Linked DNA regions of Oryzias latipes. The protein of the gene in region 2 purifies or fractionates together with the protein of the main gene of each other region. This does not show direct contact. Links are inferred from orthologs where the notes say so. Each region holds a gene or a part of one and is shown on either strand. Other genes may lie near its edges. The genes, in order: ski, smad1 and runx2.

Region 1 (3,752 bases), on a different chromosome or scaffold from region 2:
CATGCGAGACTTCTGCTCTCACTTCTGTCACCGTGACGCAGAGCCGCCTCTCCAGCTACTGAGATGAAAGAGCCCCTGCTCTGCTCCATTCTGATGCATCCACCTGCAGATCCGTCTTTGGGGTCTCAGCGGAGGCAGCTACAGCCGCGACCCAGAAAACCACACAGGATTTTTGATTTGGGCTAAAAAACTGCCTCATTATAATTGAAAGACCACTGAAAAAAATTCAAAAGATGATTTGAGTGGAACTAAAGAAAAAGGAGTGAGACCCCTGCACACCTCCTGACCAAGAGGAGGACCCCCCCTCTGCAGGACTTTTCTCTGCGCATGATAGGACTCCAGCACTCAGCTGCAGAGGGTCTGCCTCCCCCACATGTCCCCCGAGCTTTAAATCAGATGAGAAGAAAAAGCAGAGCTGGAGTGTGTGTGTGTGTGTGGGGGGGGGGGGGGGGGGTCCCCATGTTTACTGAATGCTCCTCTTTGTTGGGATCATATTATGTTTCCTCCACAATGCTCCCAAAGCCTGCCTCATCAGCTCCATTGATGTGGAACAGTTCATGCAAATGGCCACGCTGGCTTTTTCTCCCCCATGGGGGTGTTGTGTGTGTGTGTGTGGGGGGGGGTCCTACATCGGCCACAACTCTAAGCTAACTCACCACCTCACAGACTCATCAGTCCAGAGCTGCCCCCCCCCCCTGACCAACACTAAGTTACACCTGCAGAAATGTCCCTCGTCATCGCCCCCCACCCCCAAGACAACCCCCACTCTCTAGTGTTTACACTTTCCCGAGAGCCATTTGTTGGCAGACGAGCTTCCATCTACTGTTCTGACCAATAAAGGCTGTTTTAAGGCAATCCAAGAGGCAAATAAGTGTTTTATTGCCACCAGGGAGGGGGGCAGCATTACTAACCACCTGATAGATGAGCAAACACTGACTAAGGGGGGAGGCAGGTCTGTCACGACAACTTTTGTCATGTTTTCTGTAGAACGGAGACGTTGAGACGCGCGCGGCTCACCCTGGACGCAGCTTTCCGTTTGTACTTGTTTGCAAAGTCGAACTTCTCCTTGATCTCGTCCAGGATCTGCTCCAGGCGCGCCTTCTCCTCTTTGCCCGTGTAATCCTGACTCAGGAGGATGTACGCCCTCCAGTTCGCGGAGTCGAAGCCCCAGTGGCAAGTCCTGTTCTCCTGCGCCTTGTGGCTGTGCACCACGAACTTGTGCGTCGGGTACATGAGTCTGCAGTCCAAGCACTGGATGCACGCCGCGCTCGGGCTGCCGTACAGCTCCGGCACCAGCAAGCCCTTGCACTTGCCGAAACACTCGTGGTAGACTTTGAAGCTCCTGTCGGTGAGCTGCAGCTCCAGCGCCCCCGCGCCCCCCAGCTCCTTCTTGGCGCGCGGCGGGAAGGCTCCTCCGTAGATCAGGGCGTTGCAGAGCCGCTCGGCGTCCGTCTTGGTGATGAGGCCGCAGGACGGCGCGGAGAACGGCAGGATCCCCATGACTTTGAGGATCTCCAGCTGGTCCGCCGTGCAGCGGGAGCAGTAGATGTGCAGCTCGTCGCACACGGAGTTGATCTGCTGCAGGCTGAAGTCCCGCAGCACCGTGTTGAGGATCTGCGGCAGGCACAGGCGCTTCTCGCCGCCCACCACGAAGCACGAGATGGTCTCGCCCTCCAGCACCGTCTCGCACCTCTCCGTGGAGCGGTCGGACGGAATGAAGAGCGGGCCCGGCATGACGGGCGGCGGCAGATGCTGCAGCGCCGGCTCGGGCTCCTTCCCGTCCTTCTTGAAGAGGAGCTCATGCTGCCACCGGGCGGAAAACGCCGCCGGGCCCCCCAGAGAGATCATGGAGCTGAGGTGGAACTGCTTCAGAGTTTGCTGCAGTCCCGGATGAGGCTGGAAGCTCTGCCGACTTACAGCCTCCATGCTTTCCCTGCAACTTTACTGATCCGCGGAGCTGCTGCTGCTGCTGCTGCTGCTGACCGGGAGTCCCGAAAACGGATCCGTTCCTGAAGCTGGAAAATCCACGGCGTCCCGCAGTGACTCGAACCCACCAGGCGCGTCATCAAACACCCGCTCTGAGGAGAGGAAAGTCCGGGACTCAGAGCGCAGCCGGACCGGCCGCTCCGTCCGTCCGTCGGGCTGCGCGCCGCCTGTGCGCCTCTGAGGCCGGAGAGCAAACTCCGGAGAGCCGCCGAGTTCCGCGCGCCTGCTTCCGCGAGCGCACCTGAAGGGAGGGGGGACAAATCCCGTCTTAGGTTCCTCTGCTGTCGAGGACTGCGCCGATCCGTTGCGTGTGCCCCCGCAGTTCAGTCTGACAGTGCGGGGGGTGAGGTCTGAGAGCAGGCTGCGCGCGCGCCCTCCCTGCGCCGTGCGCGCCCCCGCGCCCCCGCCCCCTCCGTGTTTGTGTCTGGCTCAGTCATTGAATCCCGGCCAGGAATGCGACTGACTCCGCAGGCACGAACGCCCCCCCCCTCCCCCAAGAGGCGCGCACGCGCAGGAGCACACACAGAAGCGTGCGCAGATATCCTCGTGAGGACTTTCACAGTGAAGCTCGCAGGACGTCCCGTTGACTTCTGTCCATTTCCTTATTCTGATTTAAACTTCACGAGCTGACGGCTTGCCCCGCCCTTAGTCACCGCGGTGGGGACCGCTCCGTGGCCCCCCAGGGGGCCGTTGTTTCCATCCTCCACACCCTCAAACCCATGTTCAGGTTCCAGGGACCCTACATCAGTTCTTTGGCTTTTTACCCCTAAACTCAGACTCTTGGTCTTGAAAATGGATTATTTGGACACCCACTCCCCCCTGGACCAGAGAAGAACCACTGATGTTTGATACTTCGCTGAGCGGTGAACACTGGACCACTGGACCACTCTACAAACCAGTAGAGTGGAGTGGAGTAAAGCTGGTCTAGGAAGCCGGAGGTTCCTGTCACCTTGGTCATCAAATGGTTCTAAAGCTGACTAAAGAAACGCTTAGATCAGGTCTAACTCCTCAAGAACTCCTCACCTTTGAGAACCAGGACTAGTGTAAAAACTGAGCAGCAGTTGGAGCAAGCAAGCAAAGCTAAGCTGCAACCCAATCACACACAGACACAAGAAGCCCCCCCCCCCCCCCCCCCCCCCCCGTTCATACACAGTTCACCCTCATCCTTCAAATGTAACCCGCGAGACTTCAACACTTTGAACTTCGGCTCTGTAAGGTCAGGTCCTCTTAAGGTAACAAATTCAAGTACACACATGCAGGGAAAGGGGGGGGGGGGGGGGCTCTGAGCTTCACTCATGGACTGGATATAAAACTGGACTAAGCAGTGGGACATCACCCTCTCCTCTGGCTCCAGCAGAATGAAGCCAATTCAGTCAGCATTCTTCTGTGAAACAGGCGTCGCCTTTTGGAGCCAGACGACAGTGGTTGGTCCGAGTCGGTCTGTCATGTTTCTAGGGCAACTGCTGTCACCAATCAGGAGTAGGCTTGTCTGAAGTCCAAACCCTTCCACTAAAAGCCTGTCAGATCTATTTGTCAATCAAATGTTCAAGGTGGGGGCCAGCGGGCACTGCATACTTTTACTGAGGCATCTGATTGGTCAGTGTATCCCTTGTGCTATCCTAGCCACTTGGGCTAGGGAGTTGGGTCATCTAGACCCACTAGACAGTGCTCTGAACCTTTTTTCTTCAATGATTTGTGATCTTCACTGGTGTCCATGGATTACATGAAATCTTTCCACCTTTATCCACCTTTGTCATGGTAGGGAG
Region 2 (3,652 bases):
CGATATATCTGTGAGTTGGTATATCCTTACACCCCTAGCTACCTGTGGCTGGGAGTTTCCTAGATTCATACCTATATTTGGGTATCGTGCTGCCACCCTGACAAGTGGGAGTGTCCAACTGCGGTTGCACATAATATCACAGCCCAGATCACATTCTGTTAAACAGCTTGAGCTTGTGTTGCTAATCTAATTAGTGGTAGTGACCTCCACTAAAATATTTATGCAGGAAAAATCCTGTTTTAAAGATCAAAAACTTAAGGATGTTAGTCTATGTGTTCATATACTTTTAATATTTTTTGACTATGACGCCTAAACTCTTCATTCCATTATTAGTGACAGTATTATGAAAAAATATTACGTGCAAAAATGTGATTTCATTAATATGAAAAAGAAGCATTCAGCTATTGCTAAATCAAAAAAAAAAGATGGATGGACAGAAAATAAAGACACACTTTGTATGCTTTTGCCAAACTCCAATCTAAATATTCATGACTATCCCTAATCAGACTTACAGCACCTTGTCTGGGTACTCTGGATTTTTTTAATTTTGTGTTTACTTTTTTCTAAAGTTGCTCAGTTGTCTTTCATCATCTTCAGGTTCAATGAACTAGAAGTGTATCTATTACGCAATAGGTGGGAACACCTCAATAGTCAACAGAACGGACTGTGATTGGCAGCCAGTTGTTTCAAAAGGAATCCCACACAACAGAACTCCGGTCCACACAGAACCAAGGTTCTTATTTTTGTGAAGCGGCTGTGCTCAGTACCCTCATTCATATAACAATAAAGGTCCAGCTCATAAACGGCTCATTTATACAGTTTTATTTTAAAAAGCCTCCCAACTCTCTTGAATAATATCAGACCCATGTATGTTTTTTTTTTGTTTTTTTTGTTTTATTGCTTCTACAAATGTCTACAATTTTGCACACCAAATCTCAGAGATTCTGGACACTTCTACAGATAATGGTACCGGGCGCAGCTGCTCAAAACAAATCTGTTGCTGGAAGTGGGAGTTGGTGCGTCTTTTTCTGCTCCACAAGCTGCATCCTGCACCGGAAGCAGGTTTCTATTGTGTACCAGCTCCAGTTAGGCAAAAGACAAAACACACCTGCCAGTCAGTGCCATGCTAAAGAGGGATTTTGGGAGACATATGTACCTAAATACACATGATTTGTTCCTTTCAATTATGGGATGGGGCCAGCTCAGAACTCTGGCAAAAGTAACTGGAAATCCGGAATGACTGCGAACCTTTATGATGAAATTATTCATTTTTTCTGCTTCAAGTCTTAAAGATATTATGTTTTAATATTTAAAAAAACGATTGATGAGATTCTGTTGTAGGAGTGAGTTAGAATTGATGTGGACTGACTGACTATGTTGGAATGTTCTCAGTGTCCTCTCCAGATGTGCAGCCAGTGGCTTATGAAGAACCCAAGTACTGGTGCTCCATTGTTTACTACGAACTCAACAATCGAGTAGGTGAAGCGTTCCAGGCTTCCTCCACCAGTGTTCTCGTCGACGGCTTCACAGATCCCTCCAACAATCGCAATCGATTTTGCCTCGGCCTGCTCTCCAATGTGAACCGGAACTCCACCATCGAGAACACCCGACGGCACATTGGCAAAGGTAATCCCGTAAGCAGGTTCCTATGGAGCTTAGCTTTTGTTTCTGATATGAACACACAAACCTTAACTCAGTAAAATGGAATCACAAAAAGGGGGGGGGGGGGGGGGGGGGGGGGTTCAGACCAGGGCAAAGTAAAGACCATACCGTTTTAAAACCAGAAATATCACTGCGGACACCTAAATATAACTCGCTCTTTGACCTTTATTTGCATAAACAGTTGAGAAGTGACGGTAGTTGAAACAATGTCAAGCTCAGGTGGGAAAGGGTTAAGATAAGATAAGATAAGATAAGATAAGACTTTATTTATCTCATGATGGATAAATAAAGTCCATCATGGACTTTATTTCCAATAAAGTCATCCAAATAGCAAATATTCAGTAGCAAATATTTGATTATTAGTACATTAACCAGATGTGTAACTGGATCCCTTCTGCGTTGTTTAAGGAGTAAAAAGATGTTGGGACACAGCAGAACCCATGGAGACCACCTCTATGAATTGCGGATCTGACAATTTTCCCAAAAGAAAATAGAAACCACAGTGTTAGCATCCCGTATCAGCTCCTCTCCCACGGGACTATAAAACAGAAAGGGCAGGGGATAACGCATACCTGACAATTTTCTGAGAAGAAAATGATATATAATAATAAAAAGGTACAAGGTACATTAAGCCCATTCATATTTTAAGTGAGGGTCTGCACCAGGATAAAAAAACAAAAATGTCACCTTAACATCTGACTGTTTTAGGTTCATGGCTGATGATTCTGACATTGAAGTTATGGTGATTAAACGTTTGTCTCTCTGTTTCACCTCTTAGGCGTCCATCTGTATTACGTTGGAGGAGAGGTGTATGCAGAATGTCTAAGTGACAGCAGCATATTTGTCCAGAGTCGTAACTGTAACTACCAACATGGATTCCACCCCACAACTGTGTGCAAGATTCCCAGCAGATGCAGCTTGAAGATATTCAACAACCAGGAGTTTGCTGAGCTTCTGGCCCAGTCTGTCAACCATGGCTTTGAGGCAGTTTACGAGCTCACTAAGATGTGTACCATCCGCATGAGCTTTGTTAAGGTGAGTTGGTTCGGCGAGACTGAACGAGAACAGGAAGTTGGGGTTGTCCTTAACACTCTCCCCCCTTAGTATGATCTGTGCTGTTATATCTTTTCTATTTATTTTAATGCTTTGCCTGTAGCCTATTTTTTATTAACAGTTATTTTAATTGTCGTCTTATGATTCCTTTATAAATGTTATTTTTAGCTTTTAAGGTAGACAAAGAAAACAGATAACAAATAACCGCCGGGCAAATTCTGGCTTATTGCAGGGATGCTTTTAAATTGAAATTGAAATTGAAGTTAACTTTTATTGGCAACAACAACCACAGATGGTTGGTGCTGCCTGTACTTACAGGTTCCTTTTGTAGCATAAATGCAAATGTCTGTCTGATGTTAAAACCAAATTGATTATCAGTAGAAAACATAAAACAATTAAAGTAATCTGAGTTATGTTGATTTCAATTACTATTTGTATAAAAAAACATTTGTATAAAAAAAGAAATGTTTATTTTTTCATCAGTGAATCCCTATTTGCAGAAATAAAAGTTACAAACAAAATACACAGATTTGCATCGTTGAGCACCAGCTGTTTCCAGCATCACTTTAAACTACTAGAACTGTCAGGACACGGTTTCCCACAATGCACTGTTTTGTAGTGATAAGGTGCCTCGCAGATACAAATTTAGTACTGCGCTGAACTGGGTAGGCGCATTGCACCCGCCCTTTTTTCTCGAGATGCTTTTATGATGATTGACATGTGACGAAGCATAAAACTAACCAGCATACACCGCACAGCAGGTGATCTGTGCAGCACTGCGTCCGCCTGGGGGATATCAAACACTATTAGATGACTCTGGTGATCACACATCCTGATAGGCTGAAGACACTTGATTTAGGTAGATTTAGGTAGTCCCGGGAGAGCTGGGACACAGGCAGGATTATGTAAATTATGTAATCCTGGAAACATTTGTTTT
Region 3 (3,652 bases), on a different chromosome or scaffold from region 2:
AATGGAGGGAGAGAAGAAAGAGAAAAAAAAGGACAGAGAATGAAAGACAGAATCATCACAGGTCGACTCATCCAGAGGCTCCACATGTTGGTGCTAAATCATCACTAAAACATCTGTAGGGACAAATGGAGGGTTTGACTGTAAACAGATCTACCTGTTTGCCTTATTCAGCATCGTCTGAGTTGCTGAGATACAAAGATCTTTGTTGGTCTCACCCAGTCAGTAAACAGACCAGCAACCTCTCACAGTTTGTCATTGAGTCGGAGTGAAAGCAACAAAACGAAGCACAAAAGTTAGCTAAAGCGAAGATTAAGCGTCTTTTCTGTCCAGGGGCATAGGCGACATAGGGCGCCATCTGCTGGAGGGGGGAGCCAAATCCTAATCATATATATTTGTCTTGTTTCCCCCCACACCACTAATTTAATGTAAAAATAATAAAAAATCATAAATAAACATTTTTGAATAACTTTGCTCGGCGCTGCTGGCCGCCTATGCTAGGTGGAGGAGGGGCCAGGATTCCTTTTCGCCTAGGGTTCCATGCAAGCCAGGGCCGGCCCTGTTTCCGTCCTTTAGTGCTTTTACTTTGAAATCTAATATCACCGACACAAACAACAAACAAGCAAAACCTGAAACAGGCCGCCTACGGCTAGAATGACGTCATTCTGCGAGTGGTTCTGCAGATTCACACCGAGGCAGCTTCCTCTGAATGCTTTTTCACACAGCAGTGAAACTTTAAAGTCACACTCGGGTCATCGTTTGATCTATTTTCAACGAGTCCCAAGAGGTCTTTCAATTTTGATTTTGGCCTGAATTTAAAAATCCTGTGATGTTTTCTAGGACATAGTGTCTGCAGAGGGACAGCAGGAGTTCATCAGAAATTCACCTCTGAGTTGTAGCAGCAACCCCGCCCCCCTTCCCCTCCCTGTTGCTGAGAGCTCTCTGTATTATTACAAGCTTGTGGCCCGCCTAGCGTGCTTTCTATGTCACAAATATGCTCTTTTTCAAACTGCATTTTTTCGTCTGCTCCCGATTCACAACGATTTGAATAAGGAAATGATCAGAAATGCAATTTTAAGCAGAATTCTCTTTTTATATGTCCTCCAACATTAGACAAATGCTACAAGAACATGTTGAAAACACAATTTTCTGTAGAGTGGGTCTATAAAGTAAGCCCTGATGACCTGAGCTTTGAATGCTCTTGCCTTGTTTTGATCCCAGCAGTTCTGCAGCTTCAAACAGGAGATGTGTCCAACAAATCATCTGATATGAGTAAATATACATTTTGTGCAACATTGTACTAAAAAGCATTAATTACAACAAACATAGGGCTGCAAAAACAGTTTTAGCTGCAACATAAAGACAGAAAGTCTTAACAGTGATAACACTTTTGGATTCTCTTTTTTCATTAAAACACATTGAGAAGTAATTTTGCTGACATTTTGGTTCATGTAAGCACAAACATGTTTCAAATGTTTTTAAAACATTTATTCATTGTGTTATAAAGACTCTGTAAAGCCACGCTGCTAAAGTTTGTTATTGTCTCACTTATCAGGAACTGGATTTGTAAAACATTTCCAAAGACTTCATAGATTTGAAGTGATCCACGGTTTCTGGCTTAAGTTCTTAATAAGTTAAAAAAAAGGTCTTTTTTTCAAAATAGTAACAGAGGGGCGTTAGAATTGTTCTTAAATGAGCTTTTGTTTATTAGAAAGTGCGAGAAACAACTCCTGGACGGCCTGGAGAGCTTTGTCACACGACTGAAATGAAAGTTGGACATTCCTGTGGGTTGGTTGTAGCACAAAAACTGAACATTTGGCAAAAGTTTGCGCCAAGGCCATGAAACAGGTGAACAATAGGTGAAATAGAGGCAGCCCAGTCAAACAGCAGCTGTTATCACAGCTTTTGTGAGTTACTGACCATTTAATAAGATGCTATACTTTTAATAGTCGTTCTTTATGGGGTTAATTCTTCAGGTTGTTTTTTAATGACGAGCCCTAACCACATTCTGCAGTAATTATGTGAATATCTCAAGTTATCATCATCACATTTAATGACAAACTTGATTGCAGATCACTTTGACTAAGATATCGACACATCAGTTATTATGGACAGAACTTTAAAGACGAAATGTTCATATTAGATTTAAAATAAAGAAAATCTGGAAACTTTTTATAGTTATTTTGATACTTTATGGTCAATTTAGCTATTTGTGCTTTTTTAGATAATTGCTGGAAAGCCCTTATTTGAGCAGCTGCATCATTTTGGTGTCTAACTTTTGGAGGACATGTTTAAGAAAAGTGACTTGAAGCTTGAAGCTCTTTCCTGTTTTGGGTGAAGGGGCTTTTGGGTAGCTTGGAGCTGCAAAGATCAAACCACGTGGAGGGGAAGACAGGTGAGTGTAACCCCCAGGTTTTATTTAATTTAAATATGCACGGAAAAACAACCAGACAACAACTGTAAGGTCTCCTAATACCAGTAAGTGGTTTTACTTCCCGGACAATCAGAAAACTCTTTGGAAGGATCTGCAGAGGTGTCTGTGCAGGTAAAGGCCGACTTTGATGACTCACCTGTGATCTGCGTCTGACCCTGGGGGTTGAAGGAGTTGGCGGCTGTGTTCAGGGACGGCCTTGGGGGTTGAGTGGGAACGGCGACTCTCACTCGCATCCTTTCCAGCTCAAGTCGGTCCGGAAACAAGCCTGTTTTTGGAGGGTCCTCCAGCTTTTGACGATGCCCTGCGCAAACAGGAGGAGAGGAGGGGACGTTAAACGGGTAAGACGGGACAAAACAAGATTAAATCAAACACCTAAACGTATCCGATGTACTTCATTTGTTTACCGGGCTGCAATGGTGATTTCAGCACAATCAGTGTCGACCTATGACTGATTAAAAAAGGATCTTTATTCTCCAAAATCTAGTAACTCTTAACTAATCTAGTTCTGCTTTGTCCATGATGGCCATGAACGCACCACAGCAGCAGCTCCATAAAGTTACAGCAAGCAAATCCCAGCACCTCTTATTTTTTCTACACGGCGCTGGAAGCTCCCGGTGTTATGCCTAGTTCTGTCTTTCTGCCAACAACGACATGCTTTCAGTGGCAGCGCGCTGAGCGAAAGCGTCCACCCCTGAGCGAACGGTTTCAGGGAAAAACAACAGCGTAAAGCCCATCTACGTCACAGGAAACACCAGCAGCTAGCAAGCCTTGGAGCCTGAAAGGATATAAATAGAACTTTTTCTGGAGTTGAGTTGAGTTTGATTTTATTAAAGTGTCACGCACTATGTGCCCAGCCCCCATGGGCTTATATGACACTGGAAGACAAAATGCAGAAAAATGTCCATCACAAAAATACAATGACCCACCCAATCAGAGTCTAACAGAGTACAGAGTGTCCATTCTTCTTGTCCATGCCTTTGCAACAAAAATTTCCAAACAAAAAATTTCAATTTCAAAAAGCCAACGTAAAATTTTAGCTTCTGGAATTGAGCTGTTGTTTTACTAAGTTCTGGTTTGGTTTTCGGATAATCCCAAAGAGAAATTATGATTACAACACATAAAAACACACATTTTCTCAAACAGATTTCTGTAACAGAGATAGTGATGCATTGTAAGATTTTCTCTGGGTTCTTAAAAAAATTAAAGTTGCACTACATCAAT

Evidence for each region.
Region 1: the proteins of smad1 (region 2) and ski purify together in Homo sapiens (affinity purification with western blotting, with the first as the bait; 3 studies listed by BioGRID). This does not show direct contact. The link is inferred for Oryzias latipes from reciprocal best matches to the Homo sapiens genes SMAD1 and SKI.
Region 3: the proteins of smad1 (region 2) and runx2 purify together in Homo sapiens (affinity purification with western blotting; 3 studies listed by BioGRID). This does not show direct contact. The link is inferred for Oryzias latipes from reciprocal best matches to the Homo sapiens genes SMAD1 and RUNX2.

The regions. Positions count from the first base shown.
Region 1 is NC_019865.2:32,981,534-32,985,285, reverse strand, and holds the start of ski (ski oncogene), read right to left. Parts: upstream 2,366-3,752; 5' UTR 1,927-2,365; coding exon 1,018-1,926; intron 1-1,017. UniProt on the Homo sapiens protein: May play a role in terminal differentiation of skeletal muscle cells but not in the determination of cells to the myogenic lineage. Functions as a repressor of TGF-beta signaling.
Region 2 is NC_019859.2:18,368,589-18,372,240, forward strand, and holds part of smad1 (mothers against decapentaplegic homolog 1), read left to right. Parts: intron 1-1,392; coding exon 1,393-1,626; intron 1,627-2,440; coding exon 2,441-2,697; intron 2,698-3,652. UniProt on the Homo sapiens protein: Transcriptional modulator that plays a role in various cellular processes, including embryonic development, cell differentiation, and tissue homeostasis.
Region 3 is NC_019882.2:3,172,685-3,176,336, reverse strand, and holds part of runx2 (runt-related transcription factor 2), read right to left. Parts: intron 2,733-3,652; coding exon 2,568-2,732; intron 1-2,567. UniProt on the Homo sapiens protein: Transcription factor involved in osteoblastic differentiation and skeletal morphogenesis. Essential for the maturation of osteoblasts and both intramembranous and endochondral ossification.